Rattus norvegicus: one gene and its partners. The protein of the gene in region 2 purifies or fractionates together with the protein of the main gene of each other region. This does not show direct contact. Links are inferred from orthologs where the notes say so. Each region holds a gene or a part of one and is shown on either strand. Other genes may lie near its edges.

Region 1 (11,014 bases), on a different chromosome or scaffold from region 2:
ATTCCGATGGGATGGGGAGGGAAAGGATGGTGAAAACTTCGTTCTTGTAGGTGCAGGTCTCACACTTTAAACACGTGATGCTGTAACTGAGCTGCCCTTCAAACAGCCGGGTGATGATTGAGGTCTCATGGGCTGGCACTTTCCTGCAGCAGTTTTGGGCTGTTCTTTTCTCACTCGCTCTTCCTCGGCAGTGCTGCATAAAAGGACAAATCCCTCTTATGAAACCGCACTGTCTTGCAAGAAAGATAGGTGCCAATACAAAGATGGCTCAGTGATGGGTAGCACCCGCCTTGGACAGGACTCTTAGTTACATATACTGCTAGCCACCTTTTTAAATCTAAACCTCGTGTCAGTACCTCAAAGTTGACTTGGGGATCACTGAACCTCTCTTTATTGGTTCTTCCCAGTGTAGGCAAGCAGGATAGATCTCCTGTATCTTCCCAGTGTTACTGCCTCTCACTGTCCCCGTGAAGAAGGCAGGGGTTGAACCTAGCTGGTTAAAGGCTCAGGCGTTGACCCTTAGAAAGCGCTGGTTACAGATTGGCAAGCTACACAGGCACTTGGAAGCAGGTTGGCCTTGGGTGGGAAGGTTGAACAGGACCCCCACAGCCCCTAGACTGCTTTCCCTGAGAGGACTGTGATCTCAAGCTTCAGCCAGCATGGGCTACTTTGTAATTAGGACAAAGAGTGTTTAGACACTGTTTTGAACACAGGTAAATTTCTCCTGGTCAGTTGGACCTGGGTTTTGCCTTCCGGTTGGCTTGGAAGGTTCCTACTGTGTTTTTTGAGCTGTTTGATTTCGTTGAACCATTTGGGCTATTATCCTCTGAATGTCTGAGTAAATCTGGAGTACTTTTGGGCTCCTGGGCATCTGCCACATGTCAAAGAAGGCTTGGGATGTGAGTGTTTCAGACATCTATAATATCTGCACATGGAGCAGGGCTGAGGCAAAAAGATTCTGAGTCATAAGACTGGGCTCCACAGGGGCTGGGGATTTAGCTCAGTGGTAGAGCGCTTACCTAGGAAGCTCAAGGCCCTGGGTTCGGTCCCCAGCTCCGAAAAAAAGAACCCAAAAAAAAAAAAAAAAAGACTGGGCTCCACAGTAAAACTCAGTTTCAGAAAAAAGTAAAAGTAAATATAAAAAAATAATTTTAGGATCTGGACAGATGGTTTAGTGATTAAGAGCATTGGTTTGCACTGGGCAGTGGTGGCTCACACCTTAATCCCAGCACTTGGGAGTAGAGGCAGGGGGATCTCTGAGTTGGAGGCCAGCCTGATCTACAAAGTGAGTTCCAGGACAGTCAGGTCTATACAGAGAAACCCTGTTTTGATAAAACAAACAAACAAACAAACACTGGCTGCTTTTCCAGAGGACCTGGGTTCAATTCCCAGCACCCACAAGGATGGTGGCTGGCAATTGACTCTAGTTCCAGGGCACCCGACCCCCTCTTCTGGCTCCAAGGGAACACAGCAAGCAAGTGACACATGACATACATGCACATACAATACTTTTTTTTAAATTTAAGTAAAAAAATCAAACCAACCAATAAACAATATCCTAACCTGGATGTTTTCCTCAGGACCCCCAGCACCAGAGCCATGTCCTACTCACTGCAGGGCAGGCCATGCAGACTGAATACATGTATGTATACGCTTACCTTTTTCAAAGCTTCATGAAGCTCGTTGAGGACGTAAATCAGGAACTCCTGCGCATCTTGCTGTGTCTTTTTCAGAAAGGCTGGGTAAAGGCTGCCAACAGCCGACAGAAATATCTCTGGGGAGACACAGTCTGAGTCGCCAAGCCACATGTCTGTCATCAGGTAGGCAAAGGCCGTGGTGACCTCGCTGCAGTCCCTGAGAAGAAGAGGGGCAAAGGGCAAACGTCCCCCGCTGATTTAATGAAAAGACCCAGTCTGGGTTGGGGGTGGGGGTGGGGGACACGGGATCAGTCCACAACACTGCACCAGAGCCCCATCTACCCTGCAGTCCTCACCCTCCATGTGTTCTCTGGGAACCTATGGTGCCAGGGCTTGTAGCCCTTCACCAGGACTCCAGCGGGTCCTTTCCTCACCCTCACCTGGGGGAGCTGGGGTGGGGCAGACTCGGGGAAGAACTCCTCTTACTTCTGAAGAGCCGTGATGTACTTTCCGGACAGGAAGTACTCCACCAGTGGAGATGTGCTGCAGAGGCACTGCAAGATGGCGTTCATGTAGCAGGTGTTGCCCAGGTTCCGCAGTCCCGTCACGCCCTGGAAGTGTGGCTGGGTCTCAGACTCCGGAAGGGAGTCATAGTCTGCACACTCCGCACTGTGTGGGCCACATGGAAGGAGAGTGTTTCCAGGGAAGAGTGAGTGCTAGTACCAGTCAGGCCCTGGCAACCTCTGAAATAAAAGCGTTCTTTTGTGGCTGGGAGGCAAGGCCCGAACTGACAATTCTCTTCTTTCTCACCTCAGTGACTGAAGTTAGAGCATCAGCCAATCAAGAAGGGTTTTGTTCATTTTGTTTTGTAGTAGAGCCTTCCCTTATATCCCTGGCTTACTCTGTACTGGCTATGTTGACCATGAGGGGCTTGAACTCACAGAGATTGCCCCTGCTTCTGCATCCTGAGTGCTGGGATTAAAGGTATGTACCCTGGGCTGGGGAGATGGTTGAGTGGTTAAGGTCCTGAGTTCAAATCCCAGCAGTCACATGGTGACTCACAAGCATCTGTAATGAGATCTGATGCCTTCTTCTGATATGTCTGAAGACAGCTACAGTGTGCTTTTATATAATAATCAATCTTTAATAACAAAAAAGAAAGCTCTTTAAAAAATAAGAAAGTATGTACCTCTATGAATGGCTAGGAAAGATTCTTAATGGGTTTTGCTCTCAAACTCACTCTCTACCAAGGGCAGAAGGATTGTAGACCAGCCTTCCAGGTCTTAGGGTGGCTTGGCTAAACATGCAAACGCAACTGCTAAAAACCAAAGCCTTTCCTGTCTTAACAGTAGCATCCACAGACATTTTTACTTAGTCTGACTATGGTAAGTACTGAAGACATATTCCCCATTAAATGTCTGCCACAGCTCTCCTGGGTAGAAACAGTCCTTCTAAAATCCCATTTACAGATAGACTAACCGGCTTCTGTGAGTAAGTCATTGGCCCACAGTAGTATTACAAGGGGAAGTACACAGTGATGCAGAAGAAACGGAGATATTTTCTTGTCTATTAAGCTATATGGAATTAGACCATACAGTGAGAATGAATATAACTCTCTAGGTACCACATGATATATACACATGGCAGGAACATATACATTCATACATTAAGGGCACAGATATGTATGTATGCATACACAGATATGTAAGGCATGCACGTACATACATAGAGGAAAAGAGAAAAAACAGACTCAAATCATTGCTGTGCCAATAACTAGTTGTATAAATATGATCTGGTTTCTTATGCCTGCTCATTTATAACAGAAACTGAGTATGTGCTTAATGTGTGTGAGACACAGATGTGGTCTCGAGCACCTGATCCCCCAGCAAAACAGGGAACACTACTACCTTCCTGGCAGGGTTGCTGTGAGGACCATGCAGGTACCACGCAAGGCACTTAGCTTAGATCACATAGTCAATGATATCTTTTTTTTTTTTTTTTGGTTCTTTTTTTCGGAGCTGGGGACCGAACCCAGGGCCTTGCGCTTTCTAGGCAAGCGCTCTACCACTGAGCTAAATCCCCAACCCCCATCAATAGGGGGTTGATGGCACTGCCTTTGATCTGAGCACTCAAGAGGTAGTGGCAGGGAGAATCTCAGACTCTGAGGCTAGCCTGGGGTACAGAGTGGGTTCTAGAAGAAAATAAATAGCTAAGGCTATATAGAGAAACCCTGTGTCAAAAAAAGTGTATATTTATACACACACACATATATATATGTACATATATACATATATGCACATACACATGTGTGTATATATCTATGTGTATATGTATATATATACACATGTATATACACACATATAATGTATATGCACATATATACATCTTTATATATAGTATGCATACACACATATACATGTGTGTAATCATCTATATACATGTATAATATGTGTGTATTGTACATGTATATACATATATACATTTATATATACAGACACACATATATATAGATACCCATGTACACACACACACACACACACACACACACACACACTCACGGCGGGGGCTGAAGAGATGGCTCAGCAGTTAAGAGCGCTTTCTGTCCTTTCAGAAGATTCTGCCTCACTTCCCAGCAACCACATGGCAGCTCACAACTATTTGTAACTCCAGTTGCAGGGGATCTAATGTCCTCTTCTGGCCTCCAAGGGCACATGCCAGCAAAACATTCATATATGTAAAATAAAATCTTTTTAAAGAAGAATTCAATGACTTATTTAGTGCCTTAATGGCAGGAGATGGGGTGGGAGCATCTGCCCAACACGCAGAGATGAGAAACACTGCAGGCTCCAGGAGGCCTCCTTGATCCGTGCAGCTCCCTTTTATTATCTGACGGATTTCAGTAGGGCCGCTGGTCACCTTTGTCTTTGTGACCTGTCTTCCCACGGCCTGAATCTGAAATGCAGGCCCCATGACACAGCAGCCTCCCTCTGTGCCTCTGCTCACATTTACACCCATCTAAGAAGCACTCACTGGGCCAGTCGTTTACTTCACTCAGTGATGCCAGGGAGGCCCCCTGATGGTTAGGAAGTACAAGTTACCTCTTGTGGGTCCTTCATGGGCCAAATCTGGCAGAGCCCTCCCAAATGCAACAGGCGCCACGCTCCTCTGGGTAAGGCCCCCCACTGTTAAGGTTATCTATAAAGGCACAGGGTTTGAGGCTCACAGGATGTAGTAGGCACCGAAGTCATCTGCAGGGAACGGCCGATGAGACGCCATGTTCCTGGGAGCACATCGGGCTTTCACTTCTACTCACAAGCTAACTGTGAGCCTTTTAACTTCATTTCTCCAAAACTGTTCCCCTGGCTTGTTTTTGTTTTTGAACAGTTTGAACGCCTTCCCCCTTTTTCTCTACTTTCCACTTTTCCCTACTTTTCTGACTTCACTGAACTCAAGCCTGGTTCCTCTTGGGTCCTCCCCTGCATCACAATTGTCACCCTTCATACCAAGGTTCTAACGTGTTGTCAAGGGATACCATTACTGGTTTGTTTGAAATGCTTCCGAAAGGTCAACTTCTTGAGAATGAATTGCCCACTTTTCTCCTCTCCCTCCTTTGCTCGGTTTCTCACACATGAGCACACATAGATGTTCATCCCCTAGATTAGGGGACATCGTGTGGCAACACTGCTCCCACGAACCCTAGCAGAACATCTCTCCCCCTATGGAGGAGGTAGTGAGATTTTCTCATGTCAGTGCACACTACAGTGAGGTCACCAGAAGTGTTTACTTGTGGGATGGAGACACGGCTGGCTATGAACACGTTACCTGTAGCACACAGGCTGTCTTAGGGTTTTCCTGCTGTGGCTGTTCACATGCAGTCGTGAACGTGGTCACACCATGACCAAGGCAACTCTTATAAGGACAACATTTAATTGGGGCTGGCTTACAGTTTCAGAGGTTCGGTCCATCATCATCAAGGCGGGAGGGAACAAGGGAGTAACCTGGCAGACAATGGTGCAGGAGATGCTAGGAGATGTTGAGAGTTCCACATCTTCATCTGAAGGACACTAGAAGACTGGCTCCCACGTGGTTAGGAGGAGGGTATCATTGCCCACCCCCATGGTGACACACTTCCTCCAACAAGGTCACCACTACTCCAGCAAGGCTGTACCTCCTAATAGTGCCACTCCCTGGGCCAGGCATAGCCAAACCATCACACGGGCTTAATATAGGATCTACAAGGGGCACACGTGATTCTCTGAGCTTAGACTATTCCACTAGAGGAAAAGGACGGCATCCTCAGCTCTAACTAGAGGAAGCATGTGGCTGTGACCTGGGAAAGCACCTGTGCTGGGGCTGTGCCTCTGGAGTGCCGAGTTGCTGCTGGCCTGCCCTCTGAGCAGATCTACTGGGACAGCCAGGCACCAGCAGGAAGCAGGCAGAGAGCCCTAAGTTTATCCCAGGGAGGGAATTTGAAGACAGGCCAAAGGAAGGATACCATCAAAATCCAACTTGGTGAACCAAGGAACTTCAATGGGGTCAGTTATAGCATATAGATGGGAGATCAGGAGCAAATAGGATTCAGCGGTGTCACTGAAGACGCCAGTATGAGTGACAGCTCATGAAAGCTGGACTCCAGGAGCACACACGCCCACAGGCACTCAACAGGCTGGAGAGTGTCCTTTCTAGGCCTTTTAGTTGCAAGCCACACACTGCACCACACACACACACACACACACACACACACACACTAATATACTATACCAAACAAGCCCCCACAATGACTAAGAAATATGCATTAGATCCATAATGGTTTCCTCTGTGTGAGTGCATGTATGTGTTGCATGTATGTGAATCAGAATTCACACCAATAATCACAACCTTTCTAGATTTATTTTCCCTTCCCATTCAGACTAACTCTAACTGGGAGACACCTAGATTCTGCCAGCCCTAGTATAGCTCCTGTCTCATCAATGCTCAATGCCAGCTGTGTTCCCACTGCCGAGCACGCGACATTCATGCCTCAGTTGCACATCAGGTCACCACTGCCCACAGTGTGCCCTCACCTCACACAACTCACAGGAAACTAAGGGGGCTTCTTCTTAATTTTTCCTTCTCTCGTTGGTGGCTTGATTGAATCTGCCCCTCTTACACGTTTCTTTCTAGTTATCTTGAAGTTGTGCAGCACTTTTAAAATCTACCTCCACGTACTTTAAATATTTTTCTTTTCTATTTTTCTATTTTTCAGAGCTGGGGACCGAACCCAGGGCCTTGCGGTTGTTAGACAAGCGCTCTACCTCTGAGCTAAATCCCCAACCCCAAATATTTTGACAATATGAAAGCGTAGTCTACATTCTTTCTCACATATTCACGTTAAGCTATAGTTGAGTACTGAGGGCGACCATATTATTCCAAACGCCTTGGTTTTTTAGCTCTGGGTGTTATATAGTGGAATTTCATGATGCTAATCTACTTCACCTCTCCTGGGGAGGCTGGGAGGCAAGGGGTTCCGTGTGCTATAACAACAGAAGCTGCTATGTTGAGAATACTCCTGTGCTTAAACATCCTTGAGGTTGCAACTTCCGTTCTTCCTGCTGGATCGGGATTAACGCACCAGGCACTTCCTGGTCGCCTGGGTACAAGCAGGACTGAGTCACAATTCCAAGTCTGTACCGCCCTTTGCAGTCTGCGCAGTCCTTTGTCCTTCGCATTAGGGGCTGAGAGCCCTCCTCCTGTAGGCTTTTCTCGAATATCACAGAAAATGTTTTAATAAAAGGAGAGATCAAATGCAATGACTTTGGAGGTAAGTGGTTCACTTCACCGCTATGAATATGAAACCCATGTCACAGGTAGTGATAAAACCTTGTAAACGTCCCCAGTGAGCTGACCCTCCCTGTTCAGCCGGCCCACCCACCTCAGTCTCCCTGGGATGATAAATTTATGCTTCAACTGTCTGCATCATAGCTGAATTATTTCCTTCAAGAAGACAAGGACCAAGGAGAAATGCTCTCTAGTAAGAGACCACACTGTGAAATTGAGGAGAGTGAGGTTTACCCATACTTAAAATAATTTTTAAAAGTCTTTTTAAAGAAAATTATTTATTATTATATATAAGTACACAGGGACACACCAGAAGAGGGCATCAGATCTCATTATAGATGGTTGTGAGCCACCACGTGGTTGCTGGGATTTGAACTTGGGACCTCTGGAAGAACAGACAGTGCTCTTAGCCACTGAGCCATCTCTCCAGCCCAATAATTTTCAATATGATGCAATTTTGAGATCATTGAGACCTTTCTCCATCCAGATATCTGTGAGCCAGAGACTTGGGTTTCCAGAGTCTAAGCAGCCAGTGAAAGTTAACGCAGGGCTGTGGCTCTGAAATCTCTCACAACTGTGATGAATAAAAGCCTAAGGTGAAAACAATCTTTCTTGGGAGAAATCAAAGTAAGAAACTAGGGAAGAGCAGTGGTGGTGGGGCGGTCCCAAGAGAGAAATAAACGTTGAGTTCATTGTTTAGGGGCTTTTTATAGGAGCTAGAGTCGAAACTGGACAAAGACTGAGAACACCAGTTGAGCCTAGTGGCATGTCTTTAACTAAAGCATTTGGGAGACAGAGACAGGTGGATCTCTAAGTTCAAGGCCGGCCTGGTCTACAGTGCAAATCCCAGTACAGCCAGGGCTACAGAGAAACCCTGTCTCAAAAAACAAACAAACAAACAAACAAACAAACAAACAAGCAAACAGACTGAGAATCCTATTACAATTGGTTGATTCTCTGCACACATCAGGAGTAGGGCAATTGAAGGTTTATATACTCTGTGCATGTTCTTCTGGCCCACTCAGATAAGGAGTGGTCTCTCTCAAATGCCCTGTGATCTCGGACTTGCTTTGTTGAGCTTGACACGTTTGCCGACTGTTAACCTGGTCTGGCAGTGCGGCTCCACCAACCTTGCAAATATTGCCGCTCTGACCTAGATGGGTTCTGTGAGTGTTCATCAGCTCTCTCAATTCTCATGTGGTATAGCATAGCATACTGCCACAGTTACTGGAGATGTAACCACAGTCCCTTCTGATTATCCTTTGTTTACAGGATGGTGTCCTCTGGGGGGTTCTTGTTAAAAGCTGTCCTCACTTACACTTCTATTACATTTAGCTGCATTGGAAGCAAGGGTGAAAGCACCTGCCTTGTGTATGTTTTCCTGGCTCCCTGCAGTTGCCAGTCAACTTACAAACATCAACTTGCTTCCCAGAGTCTCTGGTTTTCCTGATAATTCAATTTAGTTGCCTCGTATCTTAGCTCTCCTCAACATTACCACCTTCAGTCGCCATCTCTGTACCCCTCAGCACTGTAGTTTCGGTGAGTAGGCAACCATTTGCTCAGTAAGCACTCTTACTTGCTAAGACATCTCCCCAGCTCTTCCCTCCCTTCTTAAGACAAGGTCTCAGTATGCAGCCCAGGCTGGCCTTGAACTCATGATCCTTCTGCCTCTGCCTCCAGAGTGCTGGTATTACAGGTTTAAAATATTCACATTAGAATTGATGCGTCTTTGACAGTTTGGAGGTAAGCTCTGTGCTTTTCAACTCTTGCATATTCTATTATTATTTTTCTAATGTATAAGTGTTTTGCTGGCATGCATGTATGTGCACCATCTATGTTCTTGGTGTCCTCAAAAGCCAAAACAGGGTGTCCAATATGCTATGACTGGAGTAATAGGTGGCTGTGAACCAACCCTGGATCCTTTGGAAGAGCAACCGGTGCTCTCTTTTAAACACACACACACACACACACACACACACACACACACACACACACGCACATGCACACAGAGTTTGTGTGCCAGCATTTTGTCTGGGTGTGCACCACCTGAGGATCCCCTGGGTCTGGAGTTACAGGTGGGTGTGAGCCACCATGTCGGTGCTGGCTATCAAACCAGATAGATCCTCTAAAACAGCAGTCAGTGCCCTTAACCACTGAGCCATTGCTCCAGCCCAATTGAGATTTCTTTTTTTTTTTTAAAGATTTATTTATTTAATGTATACAAGTACACTGTAGCTGTCTTCATACACACCAGATCTCATTACAGATGGTTGTGAGCCACCATGTGGTTACTGGGAATTGAACTCAGGACCTCTGGAAGAGCAGTCGGAGCTCTTAACCGCTGAGCCATTTCTCCAGCCCCCCAATTGAGATTTCTTACAAGGATACTTTTATAGTTGCATGAATTGTCTTTTTGGACAGCCTGCATGCCAGTCAAAAGCTCTACCAAATCTTTTTCCTAGTTTTACTTTTAAAGGTTAACCATAAAATGCCTTCGATTGTTAAGAGATGATGAGTTCTGGGAGATGGCTTAAGTTGGTGACGTACTTGTCCGACAATTATGAGGATCTGGTGTGATGACAAGTGCATGTAATCTCTGTGTTGAGGAAGCAGATACATTATTAAGATCCCTGGGATAGCAATCTAGTCTACTTGGTGAGCTCACAGACCGTGTTTTAAAAAAACAAGGTAGATGGCTCCTGGGGCCGTGCCTTAGTCTGACCTATGAGTTCTACATACACATTTTCTACACATGTAAATATTAAAAATAAATCAGGGTTGGAGAGATGACTCGGTGGTTGAGAGCACTGGCTATTTTTCTGCAGTACAGAGGTTCTGTTCTCAGCACTCACATGGCTGCTCACACATGTCTATAACAACTCCAGTTTCAGGGGACCCAAAGCCCTCTTCTAGCCAGGCATGCTGTGGGGCCAGGTAGCAGGCCCTGAGGGGGGGTGTGTGCAAACCCCGGAAATCTTGTCCTGAGATCTGCAGTAGGGTCACTCCCCCTACCCTGAGCCTTTCTGTGCCCCACCTTTGCCTCTCCGGAGGTCATGCAGCACATAGCCAGGTTAACTTCCTTTCCCCTTTAAAGTCATGTCCAGCAGCTTATGGAATTTCTCCTTATGCATCCCCAGCACCTAGACCCTGGCCAAGGATGTACACTCACACCTCACAGCCCCTGCTCACCCTACAAAAGGTTTAAATAGCCTTTGCTTCCCTCATCAGACGAGCTGTCTCACTGAAGCCTCGTCTTCTGAGTCTGTTCTTATTGCCTGTGCCTGAGTTTCTTCTGCTCCCAAGCTGCCCTACCTGGCTTCTCCTCCCAGGATCCAACCATTTAGATTGGGGATCACACCACTGCAGGCAAAACACCCACACACTGAAGAAAAATGAAAATGTTTAAAGTTGAACACGGAGGGCTGGAGAAATGGCCCGGCAGTTAAAAGCAATGGCTTCTCTCAGGGAGGATTGGAGTTCAGTTTCTAGCCTGAGCTAAGCAGATCACAGCTGCGTGTAATTTTTAGAGAATCCAACACTCTTCTGACCTTCACCAGCCC
Region 2 (11,133 bases):
ATCTCATTCTCTTGGATCAGCCTGAAGGCCTCCCTGGCCTGCAGCTCGTTTGAGAAATACTTAAAGAAATACTCCTTCCGTTTGGCCTCAGAGAAACCTAGGATCTCCACGTGGCGGGGGTGGTCCAGGAGATGCTGCAGCTTCTCCAAGGCTACTGGCCTCGTCGTAATAAGCAGAGAGGCCTTAGGCAGCAACTTCTTTCGGATGAGGCTGCTTAGCAGAATGTCTCCCCTCACAGCCTTCTGCCAGTCTGTGCAGACCTCCTCGATGTGCTCATCAAAGGCCCCCTGCAGCTCATCAAAGCCGTCCATGAGGAAGAGGATCCTGGAAGGCTTGCACAGGATCTTGCAGACTGGTGGGTTTGGGTCAGGCCAGCAGCTGATAATGAGATCTGCTAGGCTCTTTGGTGCCCTGAGGCTCACCTCTCGACAGTGGATAAAGAACAAATAATCAAATTTGTCTTTGAAGAGCTTCCCCAAGGCCCAGTCCAACATAATCTTCCTGGCTAGGATTGTTTTTCCGATGCCTGCTGCTCCCTGGAACACCACTGTGTGCACGGGCTCCAAGTGTTCATCCTCAGGCTCAAAGAGCAGCTCCAGCTTAAGGGAGCTCATGGGCCTGTCCCACATCTTAGTCCTGCCAATGGTCAAGAGTTCATGCTCCCTTTCCTGCTTGCTTGGATGCTCCTTGACCAGTTGGAGCTGGGTGTAGCGTCTGTTGAGGTCCACGCTCTCACCTAGACGTGCATTCCTGTCTTTGATGGAGTAGAACCTGCTTCTCACATGCCTTCTGTATATCTTACAGTAATCTGCAGCAGAGACAGAAAGGCAGAATCCAGGAAGAGCCCACACATCTATTCCCCAACAATAAGCGGTCAGCAGGCCTGTGCTGTTACAGGAGGAACATTAAGAATTATGATTGGGGCTGGGGATTTAGCTCAGTGGTAGAGCGCTTACCTAGGAAGCGCTTACCTGGGTTCGGTCCCCAGCTCCGAAAAAAAGAACCAAAAAAAAAAAAAAAGAATTATGAGGATTCGAGAACAATGACAAAATGCAGAGTGCTGACTGCCAACTAGATAGAGAGCAACGTGCTCGCCAAACGTTCAACTGTACACAGCGAGGTGTAGTCCTTGATGCAGCGGTGGTGCAACTGTTATGGCAACAGCCAACCATTCTGTGATTGGTTTGAAGCCTATGTGCTTGCAGTCCATAAGCCCCGGTGGCAATGTGCTCTCCAGGGATCTCTCATTATATCTATTACTGTTTTCTGAATTTGTACAGAGGCATGGCCACGTGCCTAGAAGGAAAGCCAGTGGCTTATGCTCTAGAGAAAGGAAGGACTGGCTTAGAAAAATAGGTGGTTCAGATGGACGGGGCCTTAGTTTGTTAAAGGCTAGGCTCACAACCAAAAATACAAGAAAAATAGGAGGTGTAATTTGTCCCTATTGCTCAAGTGTTATCAGGTCCCCAAAATTCTGGTGTCAATCACTTCCCACTCACGATAGGGCAGAAAGTCAGCACTGCAGCCTCCAGCCAGAAAATGTTATTCAAGCCTTTATACCTTTAGTCTGAAGCCCATATCTGCTTGCAGTAAACCCTTTCCCCAGGACTTTAGGAAGGAAGGCATGAAAATGTGCATCTGCTTCTTCAGTGAAGGTGGAGTTCCTGAGGCAGGCCTCCTTCCCTGTAGAGTGGCCAAGTGTCTCTGCTTTCTAGTTCCTTAGTCCCCTGTCCCAAGTCTCAAAACAAAGTTGAGAACAGCAGGTTGATGCATACCTTTCTTTTTTTTACAAATCGAGATGCGGGAGAGATATCCCAGCAAACCTATCCACTCCTCTTCAAGGCTGTCTTCCTGGCACACCATGGAGAGATTAGACGTGCATGCATCATCTAAACAACAACAACAACAACAAAAAAAAAACAAACACAAAGTTGTAGGATGTCATACAGGTGAAGGCAGGTACAGGATAGAACGAGGCCTGTCATTGGATGAGAAGGAAGGATGGGCGGGAGAAAAGATTTAGAGAGAGGAGGAGACTGGAGGAGTCAGGAGAAGCAGCGGAGAGAACATGGAGGCAGATGTTGAGATTCCTCTCTGCACATTTACAGGTTGTTATGAATATTCTTAAGGGATGGATGTGTACAGGGCTTTGTATGTTTAGGTGGGCAATTATACCTTATCAATTGGATCAGAGGTTATTGTGTTGTGTGTTCTTTCTTGTGGTGATTTAAGTTTAAGAGAGTATGTGGTGGCCAAAGACACTAGGCTGCCACGGAATTGGGATGTATATTTCTGGCATGGTGGCAACCTGCTTTGAAAACTAGATGGGTAGAGAGATTGCTGCCAGGCTCAGAGAGTAGCCATCAGCAGTGTGATATGGGATGGAGCAGAGCGGGTAAGACGCTTTGCTGACTGAGATGAAGATGTCTACCAAATATCTTGGGGCACTGAGGTGCTGGATCTAGTGTGGAGTAAAAGAAAGCTTTTTTACAATTTTACAGGAACACAAAATACATAAAATGTCCTAACACAAAGGATAGAATGGAGTCTAGTCTTTGGGGTAGGTCAAAGGCCCCCCTACTCCCTATTCCTTCTGAATTAAATGTGGCTTAGCCAGGCATGAGAACAGATCCCTCTAAGCTCAGCACTTGGGAGATGGAGGCAGGAAAATCAGTACCTCAGAGTCATCCTCAGCTACGCAATGAGTTCAAAGCCAGCCTGGGCTACATGAGGTCACATCTCAAAGAGGAAAAAAAAAGAAAAAAAGGTAGGGGGATAGGGGAGTAAGCATGGCTCAAGAGCTGCAGATCTTGATAGCTATGGCATTGAAAGCCTAGTAGGCATGATTCTGCTCACCTCGCTTTCTTTTTTTTTTTTTTTTTTTTTTTTTGTTCTTTTTTTTGGAGCTGGGGACCGAACCCAGGGCCTTGCGCTTCCTAGGCAAGGGCTCTACCACTGAGCTAAATCCCCAACCCCGCTCACCTCGCTTTCAAAGGGAAGCTGTCAATCATTAGACAGAACTGCGTCCCCAAGCTCAGAATGTCTTTCCCAGGCCCAGAAATCCGTTAGAGAACAGATGAGATCAAACGGTGTTTCCTTTGCCGTTGTCACCTGTCCCTGGCTGTCTCTGGCACCTTAACTTAGGGTCTATGTGCAAGAGTCACAATGCTCTCCTGACAGGTTCACCCTCCCCTGAGCTCAGCTGGACGTATGAAACCCATGAGGGTCATTTCCTGTGCTGTCCTGTCTAGATTTCCAGGTCTTCACAAGTGAACACTGTCAGTCAGTTAAGTAGTTCAGAACCATGGCTTACTGAACTCACATGGAGAGGTCTGAAAATGCTGGGTAATACCCTACTCAAAGGAGTTCTTTCTACTCTGTGCTGAGGCTTAGGCATTATTACCCATGGAAAAGGCCAAGGTGATGCCAATGGGAACCTACAGCCAAGAGCTATGAATCCCAATGGTATAGACTTTCCTCCTAGGGGAAATTTAGGAATATAACAAAAGTTCCCACACAAAGCACACAAAGCAGATCAAAGACACGGACATACTCCTGTGGATGTAGAATTATTCTGGAAGATAATGTCAGGGATGTAGAATATCTTCCTAGCATGCATATAAGCCAGGTGGGGTGTTAGTACACATACTTAGCACCCAGGAAGTGAAGGCAGGAGGATCAGGAGTTCAAGGTCATCCTCAGCCACTCAGTGAGCTTGAGGCCAGCCTGGGATATGTGAGATCTAAAGAAGGATGGACAAAAGAGGAGGAAGAAGAGAGGGGAGGGGAGGGGAGAGGAGGGGAGGGGAGGGGATGGGAGAAGAGGGGAGGGGAGAGGAGAGGAGAGGAGAGGAGAGGAGAGGAGAGGAGAGGAGAGGAGAGGAGAGAGCACCACTGGTAATGGAATCACAAAACAAAAATCTAAACACTCATGCAACCCCAAACCTCTGCCCAATTCTCCCATAATATCTCACTTCAACCCCCAAAAGAACATCAAATATTGATGACAATTTTTATGCCTAAAATCTAGATATAAAAGCCAACATCACATGGCTATACTTTTATAGTCTCGCCTGGCCTTTTGCTCTTACTCTGGCTGGCCCTGACGGGAGAGCCTTGGGTAATTAGAACCACGCCCTGTCTCTCGTCCTTCACCTGAAAGCACCAACAGTACTAGGAACTATGTCATGGGGTTATTGAAAGAAAAACAAAACCCACTGAAGCCACCTTGTACAGGGCTCCTGGAGCGGTGGCTCAGTGATTAAGAGCACTTGTTGCTCTTCCAGAGGACCTGGATTCAGTTCCCAGCACCCACATGGTGGCTCCAGTTCCAGGGAATACGATACCCTCTTCTAGCCTCTTCAGTTGCCAATACATGGTGCACACATAGACATGCAGGAGAACGCTCCTACATATAAAGTAAAATTTGTGTTGCTTTCTGGGTTTTGCTTTTTGGATTTTCTTTGAGACCTGATCTCTTTATTACATAGTCCTGATTGTCCTGGAACTTGCTCTGTAGACCAGGCTGGCCTCGAACTTGAATAAATCCACCTGCTTCTGCCTCTCAAGTACTGGAAATAAAGGCCTGTACTACTACATCCAGTCCAAAATAAATCTTACAAAAAACAAACAAACAAAACCAACTACCTAGTATAGAGCCAGAAAGAGCCAGTTCAGGGAGTAACAGCTTAATCCCCAAGACCTACACGGTAAAAAGAACCAAACCCTACAAATTGTCCTCTGACCTCCACATGTGCACACACATTAGCACACACATACAAGCACACAAAATAAATAGCTGAAAGGTTTAACGTTTTAATTTGAAAAAGATCTAAAATTGCTCAGTCAGGGCTTCTATTGCTGAGATTAACTCTTCATTCCTCTTGTACCCATTCTCGGTACAGGAACAATGACAGGCAATTGGATTGCCTCATAGCTCCATCTCTTTCTCCTGGGTCACCATTGCCTTGCCACACACCTCCTCAACTCCAACTGGCCCAGTGCTGTAGGGATGGACCCCAGGTCTCTGTACATAACAAGGAGGCATTCTACTACTGAATAACACCACCCCAGGCATCCTTATCTCCTGTGATTACTTCCTTCCGCCCTGCTCCTACTCGGCAGAGGATGCCTGGGACTTCTCAGGTTATTCTGAATCCTTTCTGCTGTTTCCCTGGTTTAGAGCAGACAAGCATCTGCTCTGAGCCAGTTGGGGAAGGAGAGTGTGATACCAACCACAACAGGCCCCCAGGAGTAAAGCAAAGACCGGAGCTTTTACAGAATTAGAAAAAGCACACTGCTCCCTCCCACCCTCTCATACCTCACCAGGGGAGAAGGAAAACCGATGATAATAAATTAACATTTCAAACATGCTAACTTCTGTATAGTAAAGGACATCATCTCCCAGCAGTTAGAAGGCAGAGGAAGGAGGATTGAGTTTGGAGCCAGCCTGGGATCCTTGAGACTCTAACTCAAAAGCAAAGAAAGGAAGATGTTGAATAAACACAGTTTCCATGGCAGCAAATGGATATGCACAGATCATAGCAAATGGATATGCACAGATCATAGCAAACGGATATGCACAGATGAGATGCTCACGATGTAAAATGAAGATGTGAATGAAGATTAAATTTGTTAATCTTTTTAAAGAAGGAAATCTGAAGACATTACGCTAAGTGAAACAAGCCAGCCACAAGAGACAAACACTTCATCATTCTACCTGTGTGAGAGACCCATAGTGGTAATGTTCACAGGGACAGAAAGCAGAGTGGTGGTTGCTAGGAGATGGGGTTAGGTAATGGGGACTTAACATCTAATGTGTTGGGAGCTTCAGTTGTGCAAGATGAGAAGTTGGTTGCATAACTATATGTTTCCTTGTTACTAAGCTACACACGTCCAATTACTAAAATTCTACCTTTTGTGTCCGGTGGACTTTACTGTAAGGAAAAAAAAAAAAAACCTTCTCACTCACTCCACTCTGGCTGGTCCTTCTTAGCTTTTTCCCAGAGGTCTCGCCTGTTGATCGCTGCAAAGATCCACACAGCCATGCCCCACGCCTTCTCCTCCCCATTGAAGTCAATCATGAGTGTGGCTAGATCCAAGTGATCTGCCTTCTCCATCTGGCCCCTGGGGATCGGAACACAGCCTTTCTCGGGTGGGTAATCTTCCAAATGCATTTTAAATTTCTTGAGGTCCACATCTTCCAGGTCCTCTAGATACTGGGCCAGCTTGCAGCGAACACTCATCATCTTCATCAGCACCTCTTGCGAGGGTCTTTGGGCTTAGATCCACGCTGGCAGAGCAGGAATGAAAACTCCGTGTGAGTAAAAAAAGAGTCAAAAGTCTCCACTTCCGGAAAACGGCGTTAGCAGAAATCCAGGAAACTAGATGCTAATATTGAAACATCTCAGGGTACCCCATAGACTGGCACAGTTTTTAAAGTTTCTTAACTCGAAAAACTCAAAGGAAAAAAACTACGACTTGATTCTGTGAATCGTCATCTCTGACTTAGGAAGAGCTGAGCAAGCTAAAGGCTTCCTAGAAAGTTCTCTTAGCTTGATCCAGGATCATGTCCTGAGCCATGGAAGCAAAGTTCCTCTGTAGAAATTAAAAAGAAGAAAGGCATTAACACAACCAGATACGGCATGCAGAGAACAAGCACACACAAGGTCACCGGGACCCGTGTACGACCAGAACCCATGGTGATGAGTCTGGGACCTGGACATGGCCTTCACAGTTTCTCAACCTCAGCTTCCTCCTTCAGTCACTGAGAAAGCAGAAGAGATTGCTTCCCGATTTCTTTGAATGGAAGGCTCTGGTTTCTTGCTTCTATTTTCATCTGACGGGAAGGAACAAAGGAAGGAGGGAGCCAGCAGAATCAGCTATAGTAATGGCAGAGCAACAAACACTCACAGTCTTTCAATGCTCAGCCCAGACAGACAGACAATCTTTCAATGCCCCTCCATTTCCCACCGATGAACAGAATCCGATCGGGTGGAATTGAGTGCACAGAAAGAGGAAGACTGATTGTGAGTATCCCTTTAACAGTTCTTGAGCATCTCATACCTATAACAAGCATCACGATTCACATTCAGTCAGAGCCCCTGACTAGATGCTGCTGCCCTGATTCTTTTTCTTTTTCTCACCTAATTTCCCAACTGAGGTGTGTTGGTTCCTTCTGCTGAGTAGTAGAGACACTAAGTGGCCTTCTCAGACTGAAGCTGGTAGAGGAAAGGGTCTGGAAGATAGTGACAGCCTCCGAAATGATATTCATGTGACGGCAAGGTGACATTCGAGGTGCCTCAAGCTCACCATCCCTGTTTTGTGTCCGTTCTTGCACCACCTCTCCAGTTTCCTGCAGCACCTCACATCTTTCTTTCTGTCATCTCCAGGGTTCTTGCTGACTGTTGCCTCAGCTCCATGGATCCTCCTAGAAGTTGAGCCCTCAGCTCCTGGCCTTCACCCCAAGTTTCCTGCCCTCTGATCTCTGCTACCACCATAGCTGTGGTCTTTACATTAGCTGCACCCTGGGCTGTCAGCATACTCCCTCACTGGCCTTCCACCCTCTGTTGCCCTGAGTGGATACCACTGAAGTCCTAGGAAGCTATGATTGCTTCTTCTCTGTGTGCATGCACACAAACTTCCCCAACATGCACGAACCACGTAACAGCAAACAGAACATACCTGAAATACTTTAAAGTTAGACTAGTCTAAAGGAACTCCCTTGTCTAAGATAAATCATGCCATTAAAAATAGCCTCCCGGGCTGGAGAGATGGTTCTGTGGTTAAGAGCACTGACTGGGGGCTGGGGATTTAGCTCAGTGGTAGAGCACTTGCCTAGCAAGCGCAAGGCCCTGGGTTTGGTCCCCAGCTCCAAAAAAAAAGAAAAAAAAAAAAAAAAAAGCACTGACTGCTCTTCTAGAGGCCCTTAGTTCAACTCCTAGCAACCACATGGTGGCTCACAACTATCTGTAACGGGATCTGATGCCCTCTTCTGGTGTGTCTGAAGACAGCTACACTGTACTTAGATATTAATAAATAAAGAAATCTTTAAAAAAAATAGCCTCCCATTCCTTCCCTGGACATTTTACCCACACTGCTCCATGAAACTGTACTCACCCAGACAGCAGCTTTGGGTACAGATAAAGGAGAAACCAGATGAATTTATAGGGGTCACTGTGACACTGGAAGTAGGAAGGATGTGGCTTCAAGACGTGAGCAAGCTTGCATCACTGTCAAAGGCGGACTAACAGTTACTCATCTGGATGGATTTTCCAAACCCAAGCAATAGAATTCTGAGTGTAAGCATAGGCTGCAGACCAGAATTCCCCAGGTTCCATGAAGAAGCCTTTAGAAACAGTGGGAGAAGGTGAAACCGCAGGGTTCAGCACAGGCAGTGAGCAGCTCCGTGAGGGCTTGGATCCCAGAGAGGGGGAAGTAAGCAGTGGTGAGCAGAACTAGTATGTGGAGAGTTGAGACAGGGTCAGATTCTGAAAGCAGGGCTGGGACTCCAGAGAGAGGGAAGTAAGCAGTGGTGAGCAGAACTGGTATGTGGAGAGTTGAGACAGGGTCAGATTCTGAAAGCAGGGCTGGGACTCCAGAGAGAGGGAAGTAAGCAGTGGTGAGCAGAACTGGTATGTGGAGAGTTGAGACAGGGTCAGGCTCTGAAACCCCAGATTCTAATTTCTTTCTCCTCTCATGGAGGTGGTCAGCGGGCAGCTCCAAGTGTTTGACATCTCCTGTTACTTTTTAAAAGTAGGAGTCTTACTCCATGACTTTTGGACTCACTTGTCAGGTTGAGGTAGAGAACTGACTGTGTCCCAGGAAAAGGCCAAAGTGGTTGGTTTTCTTTACCCCTGAAGAAGGAGGGAACTGATGACCACACAGACCTGCTTCCCCTGCCGCAGTTTCCTGGTAACTGCAAGTCCACTGTCTGAAAGGGCACAGTTCTAGCAAACTCTGAGCAAGAGGTACTCTCTCAGTGTCCTGAATGAGGCAGGTGAAAGGGCAGACCCACATCTCAGGGACTCTGCTGATACAGGGACAGAAGTGACAAGAATTCAATGCTAAAACTGAAAAGAAGCAGACCTGTCGCACTCAGGATGGCAAGGGGGTTGGGAGACCTATCTGCACCCGAGAACTTTTTCTTAAAAATTGAGTTGACTGAACTATATTTTGCATGTAACAAAAATCCACACCTTTATAAAAAGAGGTACATAGATCAATAGGAAAGGGTAGAAAGTGCAAAAATAAACCCAAGTTTACGTGAGCAACTGATTTTTGACAAGGACAACCAAGAAGGTAAAAAGGAAAGGTTGATCTCGCCAACAAATGTTCTTCAGCCAGACCCAGTGGTACAAATCCACAATACCAGCTGCTTGGGGGGCTGAAGAGGGGAATTGCAAGTTCAAGGCCATCCCAGGCAGCTGAGTGGGACCCTGTCTCAAAATAAAGAGGAAGTGGGGAGATACAGCTAGATAGTAGAGCCTTCCTAGCATGCCCAAGATCCTGGTTTCCATCCCTAGTACTGCAAAAAGTAAGAAGTAATAAATGATTGGCCTCCAAAAGACTGCACCGTAGTTATATGGTGAAGAATAAAACTGGACCCTGCCTGATCTCACACCACGTTTCAATCCACTCAAAGTGATACAGGTCTGAGCGGATCTGAAGCCCTGAACACCCAGAAGACAGGGAAAGCCTGTTAATACAGGCAGTGCTGACTCTGTCTCCCGAGAAGCAATGGAACGAGAGGCAAAATAAACTACCAGGACCATCCAATCTAAAACGCTCGGAGGACACAAGGAGTGGCGTGGAGAGGCTGTTAACGACCTTGAGGGAGACATTTGTAAACCACGGGTTAGATAAGCAGTTAATAGCAAAAATATGCAAGACCCTCATTCGACTCCATAGTAAAGGACATGAACAAACACCACTCAAAAGAAAGCCAAAAGCCCACAGGGGTGTGAACAGTGTCCAACATCACCATCCCTCCGGTAATAGCAAATCAAAATGGCAAGAAGTCATAGACAGAGCGCAGATAGAGTGCTTGCTTGGAATGTATGAAGCCCCCCGTTCGAGCCCCAGTCCCACATAAAAATGGTATCTAGCAGCACACACGTAGAGCCCCAGCACCGGAAAGCTAAAGGTCAGTCAGCCTTATCTACATAGAGTGAATACTGCCGAGACTCATAACTGGCCAAAGTGTTGAGATAAGCGTCGGTGAAAGGTCAGCGAGATGGCTCGGCAGGTAAAGGAGCTTGCTGTGAACTTGATGACCACATGGTTGAAAGAGAGAAGCAGTTCCTAGAAGTTGTCATCTGACTTGTGCTGTGGCATGCCCCACCCCCTCCAAACAAGCAAACCAACAAATATAATTTATAGGATTGTAAAATGTTCATCAATAAAATTTACTATAGAAAAGTTTTCTTTAATATACTGTTATTATTACTATTACTATTATTATTGACAGAGTCTCTCTTTGTAGCACTGGCTATCCTGAAACTTGCTATGTAGACCAGGTTGGCCTCAAACTCACAGAGATCTGCCTGCCTCTGCCTCGTGAGGGCCAGGATTGCAGGTATGCACTACCACACCTGGCCTGAAAACACTTGGAAAGAAGGGACCGTTGTATGCTCAGCCCTAGATGGGACATGTATTTCACTCACTCATGGCTTGGGAAACATTGTCAGTAGGGACAGAAAGAAATGTAAGAGGAGACGAAGGAGTGGGAGGTATAAAATGCTGTCTCCTGGGTATGGAATGGATACTGCAGTCTTTTTTAAAAAAACATTTTTAGATGTATCTATTTTATGTGTATAAGTGTTTTTGCTTGCATGTGTATAAATGCACCTGGCATGTGCTTAGTGCCCAGAGAGGTGGGAAGAAGGCATCAGAACCCCTGAAACTGGAGTTTGACCATGTTTATAATACTAGATATGAATTCCCTTTTATGTTCAGGGCTCAAAACTAATTGGAAGCTGATTGTTTACTTCCTATAACACCATAACACCAGTAGACTCATCTTACCTGGTTGGTTAATACTACAGAAACTAATCACCATCACCACCACCACCACCACCATCATCATCACCACCACCACCACCACCACCATCATCATCACCACCACACCACTACC
Region 3 (9,379 bases), on a different chromosome or scaffold from region 2:
GTCATGGAGTTACTGAAGGGAGACTAGATGCCCCAAAGCATCCAGGCTTCTTCTATTACCAAGTTACCTCTGATTCTTTCTGGAGATCACTCTGTCTTTGTACCTTAGGGGCCTCACTCCACTCCCTAGACCCATTGCAGTCACCAAGAATTCCTACCACGGTTTCCGAACCTTCTGCATTTGCAGCAGGCCACACCATCCCTGACAGTGGCTTCCAAGATAAACCAGGTTACCCTAAGCCTGTCCAGGACACCCAGCCACCAAAGTCCCCAGTAGAGGTAAGTCCTCATAATCTGTTTTAAGCTGCCTGCTTTTGTGTGCCTGTCTGCTCACTTCTGCCCACCCAGCCTTCCAGAGCCCCTTTCTTTTTTTTTTTTTTTTTTTTATTTTTTTTTTTTGTTGTTGTTGTTCTTTTTTTTTTTTTTTTTTTTTTTTTTTCGGAGCTGGGGACCGAACCCAGGGCCTTGCGCTTCCTAGGCAAGCGCTCTACCACTGAGCTAAATCCCCAACCCCCCAGAGCCCCTTTCTACCTCCTGAAAATCATGCCTCATTTCTGCTAAGAATGCTGGGGTTCCCTAACTAGCTACCTAACTGCTGGCTAGACCTGTGGCCCCTTAGTGTGCTGTTGAGGTCTTTGCAATGGTCATGTGATATGTTGAGCTGGGTAAAAAAGACTAGAGGGTAACCAGATTTGTATGTGAGAGAGGTGATATGAGGGCTCAAGAAGGGTGGGTAGTGACAGAGCTAATTATCAACAGTAAAATCAGGTATCAGGGGAAGATAACTAGTTCCACCGGGATGAAGTGAGTTAACAATGGGGTATAGAAGAAACCCTAGACCTAGACTATGGGTCTGAAGCCATAGGGTCTGTGCAGACTGCTGAAGAAAGGACAGTGGTTACAGACACATGGGTAGGGAACTTCAGCAGTGCCTGGTTTTTTGTTTTGTTTTGTTTTTTTAATGCACTTGAAGTCATCCTGGGGACTGGGCTGGAGAGATGGCTCAGTGGTTAAGAGCACTGACTGCTCTTCCAGAAGTCCTAAGTTCAATTCCCAGCAACCACATGGTGGCTCACAACCGTCTGTAATGGGTTTCAATGCCCTCTTCTGGTGTGTCTGAAGACAGCTACAGTGTACTCATATATAATAAATAAATAAATCTTTAGAAAACACAGTTGTCCTGGGAGGCTGGGAATAGAGCTTTCAGTTGCTGGGGTGCTTGTCTGGCATACACACGTGCCTGAGGTCAGTCTCCAGCTCCATATAAATTGGGCATGATGACACACACCTATACGCCTGCCACTCAGGAGAGAGAGGCAGGCGAATCAGAAGTTCATAGTCATCCTTAGTAAGTTCAAGGCTAGGGTGAGATACGTAAGGTCCTATCTCAAAACAAAACAAAAACAGCAACAACAAAACCAAATAGGTGGGGCTGGAGAGATGGCTCAGCGGTTAAGAGCACTGACTGTTCTTCCAGAGGTTCTGAGTTCAAATCCTAGCAACCACATGGTGGCTCACAACCATCTGTAATGAGGTCTGATGCCCTCTTCTGGTGTGTCTGAAGACAGCTACAGTGTACTTATATATAATAAATAAACAAATCTTTTAAAAAAAAAAAAACCAAATAGGTGGGCTGGAGAGATGGCTCAGTGGTTAAGAGCGCTGACTGCTCTTCCAAAGGTCCTGAGTTCAAATCCCAGCAACCACATGGTGGCTCACAACCATCTGTAGTAAGATCTGATGCCCTCTGGTGTGTCTGAAGACAGCTACAGTGTACTTATATGAAATAAATAAATTAATCTTAAAAAAAAAAAAGGGCTGGAGAGATGGCTCAGAGGTTAAGAGCACTGACTGCTCTTCCAGAGGTCCTGAGTTCAAATCCCAGCAACCACATGGTGGCTCACAACCATCTGTAATGAGATCTGATGCCCTCTTCTGGTGTGTCTGAAGACAGCTACAGTGTACTTATATATAATAAATAAATAAATCTTAAAAAAAAAAAAACCAAATAGGTACTAGGGATGGAGACTTACATTAGGCAAGTATAATCGATGAGCTTCAGCCTCATATGTGAAGGCTTCCTGTAGCCTGAAGCCAAGCAAAGGTTCCGAGGAGCTTGTGCTCTTGAGCCCCATAAATATATGCTGCCCTTTTTCAGCCCCAGGAGAAGCAATGGCTTTATGTTATTTCCTCTATTTCAGAATTCGGAGGAACCCCCACAGGCCAACTTTGGGGCCATTCCAAGGATGTCGGGTGACTCTTTGATATCCTCACCTAACCCACCGGCCCTCAGCCCTCAGCCCTCCAGAGAGCATCCCGAGCAAGAACCCGAACTGGGGGGCCCCTCCACAGCAAGTATGTATAGAGTGTGGTATGAGAGGGTCTCCTGGACCGCTCACATGAAGGTTAGGGTTACAGTTACCACTTGGCCTTCCTTAGATAGGAGGCAGGGTAGAAATAAAAGTGTGTGTGTGTGTGTGTGTGTGTGTGTGTGTGCTGTGTGCATACCTGTGTGTGTAGTAGTAGCAGCAGCAGCAGCAGCTTAAAATGCAGTCATTCATTAGCACATGGCTCAGCTGGGTAGGTCTTCTGATCTTGCTGATTTTGTGTCGGGTGTTCCCTGACATATACATAATGTTCTACTACATCCATTGGCTGGTACTTCCTCATTCTCTCTTCCTCTAGCACAAAAACCCAACTCACAGCATCTGGGTAAGGCTCTGGGTAAATAAAAGAGAGGCAGAGCTCTGAGCTTAGGCTCAGTAATAAGGCAAGAGGTCTTATTACTCCTGCTCTGTTCTGTGGTCAAAACAAATGATAAGGCCAGCCCAGATTCTGAGATTTTTTTTTTTACTAGATTCTGGTCAAATCACATTGGAGAGTGTGATTTTTGCCCTGTGGGTGTATAGTTTTTGTACCTTGCTGCATGTGGGAGAGAGCTAGGGCTATTTCTGCACTCAGGTAGAAGGTAGTGATTGCCCAGGACCTGAAGACGGGAAGGACACCTTATGGGTAGCTAATGAGGGAGCTCTTCACAAGGGGATGTCTGGTTCCCAGCTGTGGTTTGAATGAAGTGGCTCCCATAGGCTTCTACATCTGGATACTTGGTTCCCAGTTGGTGGAGCTGTTTAGAAAGGACTATGGGGTGTAGTCTTGTCAAAGAGGTGGGCTTGGAGGTTTCAAAAGCTCATGACATTCCCAGATAGTGTGCCTTTGCGCTCTCTCTCTCTCTCTCTCTCTCTCTCTCTCTCTCTCTCTCTCTCTCCCCCCCCCACCCCCTTCCAAGCCCATCCCCGCCTCATGCTTGTGGGTAAGATGGAAGGTCTCAGCTACTGCTCCAGTGCCTGCCTCCTTGCTGCCATGCTCCCTACTATGACGGTCATGGACTCTAACCCTCTGGAACGATGAGCCCCAAATTAAGTGATTTCTTATATAAGTTGTCTTGGTCACAGCAGTAGAAAAGTAACCAAGACAACCAGAAAAATCACTAAAGTGGTTCAACCCCAGATAAGTCAGCCAGGGTTCAGAACCTGGTGTCCCCCTCAGGACTAGAGTTTGTCCACCCCGACTTCCAGGCTAGAGCGGCTCACCTCTACTTCCCAAATTGAGTTCTGTTTGCTCTGTTTGTTACTGGTGCCAGGTGAGCCCTCAGTGCCCTAGGATTGCCATGTGAACAGTTAAAGGTTAGAGGAAATTGTCCCAGTGCCCCCAACTGCTTTCACAAATGGCACTTGGTTGAAGTATGTCTGTAAGCACGGGCTCCGGGAGATTTTCTGTCAGGTTTAGGGAGAGATGTCGGACATCACTTCTGACCTTTGTCAGTGATGGCAAATGTATCCTCAGAGTTCTGGGAAGAGTCTGTCGTCATCAGCTCTATGCACTGTAACTTCCTGCTACTTCTGTTTCCCCAAATCAAGCTCCCTTTCTGGGACTACTAGGTCCCTATCCTTGGGGACATATGCCTGTGGGTCAGTTGACTGGTGTTAGCGGTTCTATTGAGCCATCCTGCCACTGCTTGCCCTGATTCAGGATTGCTCCTGCTAGAAGGTAGTGAGGGACAGTAGTAAGAGGAATGTCTCAGGACATCCACGCTCATGCCCCAGGACAAGGTAGAAGGGGCTGAAGTGAGAGAAGAGGCAAGTGCTTAGGGTCGATGGAAAAGGAATAATTTATACCAAGGTTTAAGCTCTTAGGTGTGGATGAAGGTAGAGCCCATTTTACTTTGATGATAGGACAGACTAGGGTTACAAGTTAAGGGCTGAGGGGCAAGAGTCTTTTCCATGGGAGGAGATTGGGAGGCAAGATGTGGAAGGGACCATGTGATCAAGGACATGGGGACCCTTCTCTAGCCCTTAAGTTAAAACCATCCTTTGGGTTTGTTTCTGCTTTTCTCTCCCCACCTGTAGATGTTGACTCTGTTCCCATAGCAACCTATGGACCTGTGTCTCCAACTGTTTCCTTCCAGCCCCTTCCACGTATTGCCCCGAGGACAAACCTCTCGCCTGGGGTCACAGTATCAGCTCTATCTGCCAAGACCACTTTGTCCTCCTCTTCTACTGGATCAGCTTTTGCAAAGGGAGCAGGTGACCAGGCCAAGGCTGCCACCTGTGTCAGCACTAAAGAGGGAGTACCTACCAATTCTGTGACTACCAGCTCAGTGCCTTCCATCAAACCAGTACCAGTAAATACCATGTCTTCCAAGTTGCCCATCAGTACAAAGTCCACTGCTGCAACGCCCTCTACTGTGCCCACTAATATAGCGCCATCAAAATTACCCATCAACTCAGTATATACTGGCATAGTGCCATCCAAAGTGACTGCTAGTGTGGCCAAAGCAAGTGCCAGCACAATGCCACCTGAGAGGAACAACAAGCAAGCCAAGGTGAGTCCTTGTTCCTCCTAATAGTGGCTCAGGCTACTTTGCCAAGACAGCTGGTCCTTGCCCTCAGACCCTTTTACTTCCTGTGCTGTCCCTGGTCTGTTTCTTCAAGGTGGTGGGACAGATGGGAAGCAGCCAAACCCAGCCCTTGCACCTTGTTTTCCAAGAGGAATGAGAGTCATGAGCCCGCCTAAGCTCGGACTAAGTAGGGTGGGGCATGGGACTTCCCCCACTGGCATGTCTGTTAACTCATTTGGAGCTTGAAGCCCCAGTGAAGGTCAGCAGTACCATTTTGTAGCTGGAGTAGTGGGGACTAAACGTGATGGCTCATGTGTCCTAGTGCCCTGTTCATTCGACAGTGTTCTCAAGCATCCTGCTTGTAGTAGCTTCTCCAACCTAGTGACCCCTATAGCCATTTTCCCCACGACCATACAACTGTCTACCTAAGGGAACCAAGTTTGTAAACCTCAGGATCTTGTGCCTGCCCTGTGGCTCTCAGGCCCAGGTAGTACAAGATGGTTCACATGCCAGCAAGGGCTCCCTCTTAGTGGAGCTCACAGCAGTTCCGTGAGTGGGAGAGGGCTGCCCTGGAGGGGTACTGCAGCATCTTGGTCACCTACTCAGCTGTGTCTTATCCCCAAGAGAGGGTAATTTCGGCTATTGTGGGATACTAGTTCAAGCCCTTGCCACACCCTGGGTTATCTCCTGTCACCTGAACCCCTCTTCTTATGTTTGCAGGAGACCCTGGAGGCTCCAGCAACCGTAGTCACCACTGGAAGCAGCCTGACCAGACCAGATATCAGTTCCAGGAGCTTGCACTCTGGGCCAGAGTTAAGCAAGCCAGGGGTGCTGGTGTCCCAGGTGGACAACGAGCCATTCTCAGCCTGCTCTATGGACCTTGCCATCAGCCCTAGCACCTCCTTGGGCTCAGAACCCAACCATGGTCCAGAGGAGAATGAGTATTCATCCTTTCGAATCCAGGTGGATAAAAGTCCCAGTGTTGATCTGTTAGGAAGCCCTGAGCCACTAGCCACCCAGCAGTCCCCAGAAGAGGAAGAGCCTTGTGCCAGTTCAGTGTCCTGGGCTAAGTGGCTGGGGGCCACCAGTGCACTCTTGGCTGCATTCCTGGCAGTGATGCTCTACCGTAGCAGGCACCTGGCCCAGTGAAGCCTCAGCTGTATGCCACACTCACTTGCTCAGTCCTGCCAAGCATGCCCTCTAGGCTTGGGGTGGTAGATATGGCGAGGTCCACTGAGTTATCCAGGTACAGGTGCTACCTGTACTGAGGCGCCATCACTATGTGGTGGGGGAAGAGACACTGCTTCTATCCTGGTTCATGTCATCTTCTGGTCTTCAGCTTTTGGGGGCCCTGTATCCCTTCCATTGCTTCTGACCTGCCCACAGGGCAGGGTAAGATTGCATGCTATGTGCTCCTAAGGAGGTATCCCCACCAGACTCATCCCTATTGGCCCAAGCCTGAAGATGAGGAGGCATTGCACTGTTGACAGTGCCCCTCCTCTCACCCAGGTCTCCTGAAACACAAGCGTAGAATAGTGATGAGTGGTCCCGTAGCATCCAATGCCTTCCACCAGCAGCCTGGCTGAGGCCTCGGCAGAGTGCCTGGGAGCAGCAGAGCAGCTGGTCTCTTGGGAGCTTTGGGTGCTCTGCCCCTTTGGTCCCTCTCCCCAGCCAGACAGCCCTAAGGGTGGGCCTGGAGGTTCTCTGTGGACTCCAAGAAAGCCAGAAGCAGCTCCCAGGCCTGAGAAAGCCCCTGGGAGCCTTGCTCCAGCCTCCTTATCCCAGCTCTTCACTTCTCCCCTCCTGGTCTCCATTCTCTTTGACCTCCTACACTGGATGATGAGATACCTAGTGGGCAGAGCTCAGGCTGGGCTTGGATCAGTTCCACCCTTTCTCTGCCTTTAGCAGATGTTTAGCTTCTCTAGTCTTCCTCCCAGTGTGGACAGTGGGTAGCACTTCCTTTTACTGGGCTCCTCTGAGTTTGAAGGATAGAGATATTTGCCTAGTGCCTATCCCCGAGGGTGTGAGCACAAGTTCTTGCCGTCCTGCCCAGGCTGGTAGAGCTAAGGTGAGAGCATGAGAGACAGAGTGCACAGTGGTAATAGCACAGTCTTTGAGAGAGCAGCCTTCGCCTCCATCGTGCTTTTGTCTCCTCCCTGGTCAGGTGTAGACCTTACCTCTGTGCCTCACTTTTCTCACCTGTGAGATGGGGTGAATATGCATATATATGCTAATATATTCTAGTTTTATTGGGATTAATTAAAAGAGTTTATCTGTACAAATCTTGTGTGTTCCAAATTTCTTAAAGGTTGGATACATGTTATCACCACCCCACCCTAGACTGTTTCTCTGTGTAGTCCTGGCTGTCCTAGAATTCACTCTGTAGACCAGGCTGGCCACAAACTCAGAGATCCACCTGTTTGTTTCAAGTGCTAGGATTAAGGGCATGGGCCACCACCATCTGACACATCATCACTTTTAAAGAAAAGGTACCTGGTGAGAGATAGGTCTTAGCACATTCTTCCCTTCTCGGTGAGAGATAGGTCTTAGCACATTCTTCCCTTCTCAGTGGGCAGGAAGTCTAGTTATTCCTATAGCAGAAATACAGTTAGGCTTAGGCTGGCTGTGCTCATGCCTTTAATCAGCACTCAGGAGGCAGAGGCAGGCAGATCTCTGAGTGAGTTCAAGACCAGCCTGGTCTACACAGCTCCAGGCCAGCCAGTCTCCAGACAGTGAAATACAATGATGTATATTGAGGCTATCCTCACGGGCTTCCTCAGGGTGCCCTTTGCTGGACAGGGGATAAGCGTGTAGCCACCTCTATCTCTGGGCCCTATTGTGGACAATTTCTCTATCAGGGGTTGCTATTGCAATCTTCCCTACATGCCCTAATTACCTATACTTAACTTCAAGGCTCACTTCAACCTGTGCCATGAATCTAGGTGTAACCTGTCCCCAAGTTGTCTACACAACTTCTATCACCTTTGTTTCTAACAACCCTGGACTTTGTACCCTCTCCCAGAGCCATGCTGGCCATGCTGGTGAAGAGTTGTGCATGGACTAGTTTTAGTGTTACTATTCTAGTGTAGCTTTGAAAGACTAATCTCAGTAATACAGTATGTAGCCCTACAGAGGTTACCCAGATGGCGAGAGTTCAAGCACTGGTCACTAGGCATCTCTTAGGTCAAGAATGTGTGGGAAGTATCTATCAAAGGCCTTCCCTGCACTTTGCAAACTTTGGTGACCAGGCCAGCATTCAATGACACCTTTGTCTCAGCTAGACGCTTTGATGCCACCTTCAGGAAGAGGGGGGGCTTTGGTCGTGTCAGGTCCCAGGAGTCCAATGTCTGTGGGTTGCTTTCAGCCGCAGTGGGGTTCACAGCTGTAGGAGGGAGAGTTGGAGCAGGTCTGGACAAAGTGAACCAGAACCCAGGGGATGGAAGGAGCATGTCTACCCACAGAAGGCATCTAGGTACACATACCTGCGGACTTGAGGAAACAAGATTTTCCTTTAAGATGATCACTGTTGGCTGGAGGAACCCTCTGCCCACCTTTCTCTGGTGAAGAATTCCCAGAAGCCCAAGAATTCTGTTCTATCCCTGGCAAATCCCAGTGGGCCCCGCTGTGATTGGATTTGGTACAGTGCAGCTCCTTCACTTCCTTTCCCTTGTTAGATGCCCTCATTTATGGGACTCTGTGTCAGAGATGAAAGAGACATGGGTACACTCCATTACATCAGGGAGCTGTGTCTTATCATGACACCTCAGGCCTGGCAACCTTTTCTAGCAGGGCAGAAACTCCCATGCAGCAAGATTCAAATAGCATGACTCATTAGATCTCCTAGGAATAAAATCACGTCGATCCTAAGGTCCATAGTGTCCATAGATGTCTATTATAGAGTTGAGCGCTGACACTCTCCCCTCACCCCCCCGCCTCTGCCAAAGGAGAATCTGTTGGCTGGGACAACATGTGAAATGAGATATTTTTTACACCAAAACATTGCTGTCCAATATGTCAAGATCTATCATCTGCTCTAATAGTAAAGTAAGACTCTGTAATTAGTACAGTCTCAGGGATGACATAACCACATGATTATAACCATTGTGTATGTGCCCAAAGTCAGAACCCTCAGGCCGGGTGTGATGGGGTAGAGGGTATGGATCTTTAATTTCAGTCCTTAAGAACTCCCTTGATTTGGCAGGCATTGAATATTTATTAAAGGCCATGTTCAAGGGTGCACCGAGAACCACATGTGATACGTGGCAATAAGATTTCATATTATTGGCTTGTTTGTTTTGTTTGGTATTTTAAGACAGGGTCTCTCTACATAACCCTGGTGTTCTGAAACTCACTATGTAGACCAAGCTGATTCAAACTCACAGAGATCTGCCTGTTTCTGCCTCTGGAGTGCTGGGATTAAAGGCAGGGGCTTTATCATTTTCTTTCTTTCTTTACTGTTCTAAGAGTCACCCCTCTTATTACT

What was found.
Region 1: the proteins of Nlrp3 (region 2) and Usp50 purify together in Homo sapiens (affinity purification with western blotting; 3 studies listed by BioGRID). This does not show direct contact. The link is inferred for Rattus norvegicus from reciprocal best matches to the Homo sapiens genes NLRP3 and USP50.
Region 3: the proteins of Nlrp3 (region 2) and Mavs purify together in Homo sapiens (affinity purification with western blotting; 4 studies listed by BioGRID and IntAct, with this or other methods). This does not show direct contact. The link is inferred for Rattus norvegicus from reciprocal best matches to the Homo sapiens genes NLRP3 and MAVS.

The regions. Positions count from the first base shown.
Region 1 is NC_086021.1:134,483,705-134,494,718, forward strand, and holds the start of Usp50 (inactive ubiquitin carboxyl-terminal hydrolase 50), read right to left. Parts: upstream 5,156-11,014; 5' UTR 4,914-5,155; coding exon 4,861-4,913; exon of another isoform or gene 4,754-4,860; coding exon of another isoform or gene 4,736-4,753; intron 2,381-4,735; exon of another isoform or gene 2,307-2,380; coding exon 2,124-2,306; intron 1,855-2,123; coding exon 1,659-1,854; intron 194-1,658; coding exon 1-193. UniProt on the Homo sapiens protein: Deubiquitinating enzyme that removes conjugated ubiquitin from specific proteins to regulate different cellular processes. Regulates the inflammasome signaling pathway by deubiquitinating 'Lys-63'-linked polyubiquitination of the PYCARD/ASC adapter protein.
Region 2 is NC_086028.1:44,823,648-44,834,780, reverse strand, and holds the start of Nlrp3 (NACHT, LRR and PYD domains-containing protein 3), read right to left. Parts: upstream 6,684-11,133; 5' UTR 6,254-6,683; coding exon 5,971-6,253; intron 1,890-5,970; coding exon 1,776-1,889; intron 809-1,775; coding exon 1-808. UniProt on the Homo sapiens protein: Sensor component of the NLRP3 inflammasome, which mediates inflammasome activation in response to defects in membrane integrity, leading to secretion of inflammatory cytokines IL1B and IL18 and pyroptosis.
Region 3 is NC_086021.1:138,911,952-138,921,330, forward strand, and holds the end of Mavs (mitochondrial antiviral-signaling protein), read left to right. Parts: intron 1-108; coding exon 109-278; intron 279-2,200; coding exon 2,201-2,354; intron 2,355-4,405; coding exon 4,406-4,881; intron 4,882-5,616; coding exon 5,617-6,045; 3' UTR 6,046-7,174; downstream 7,175-9,379.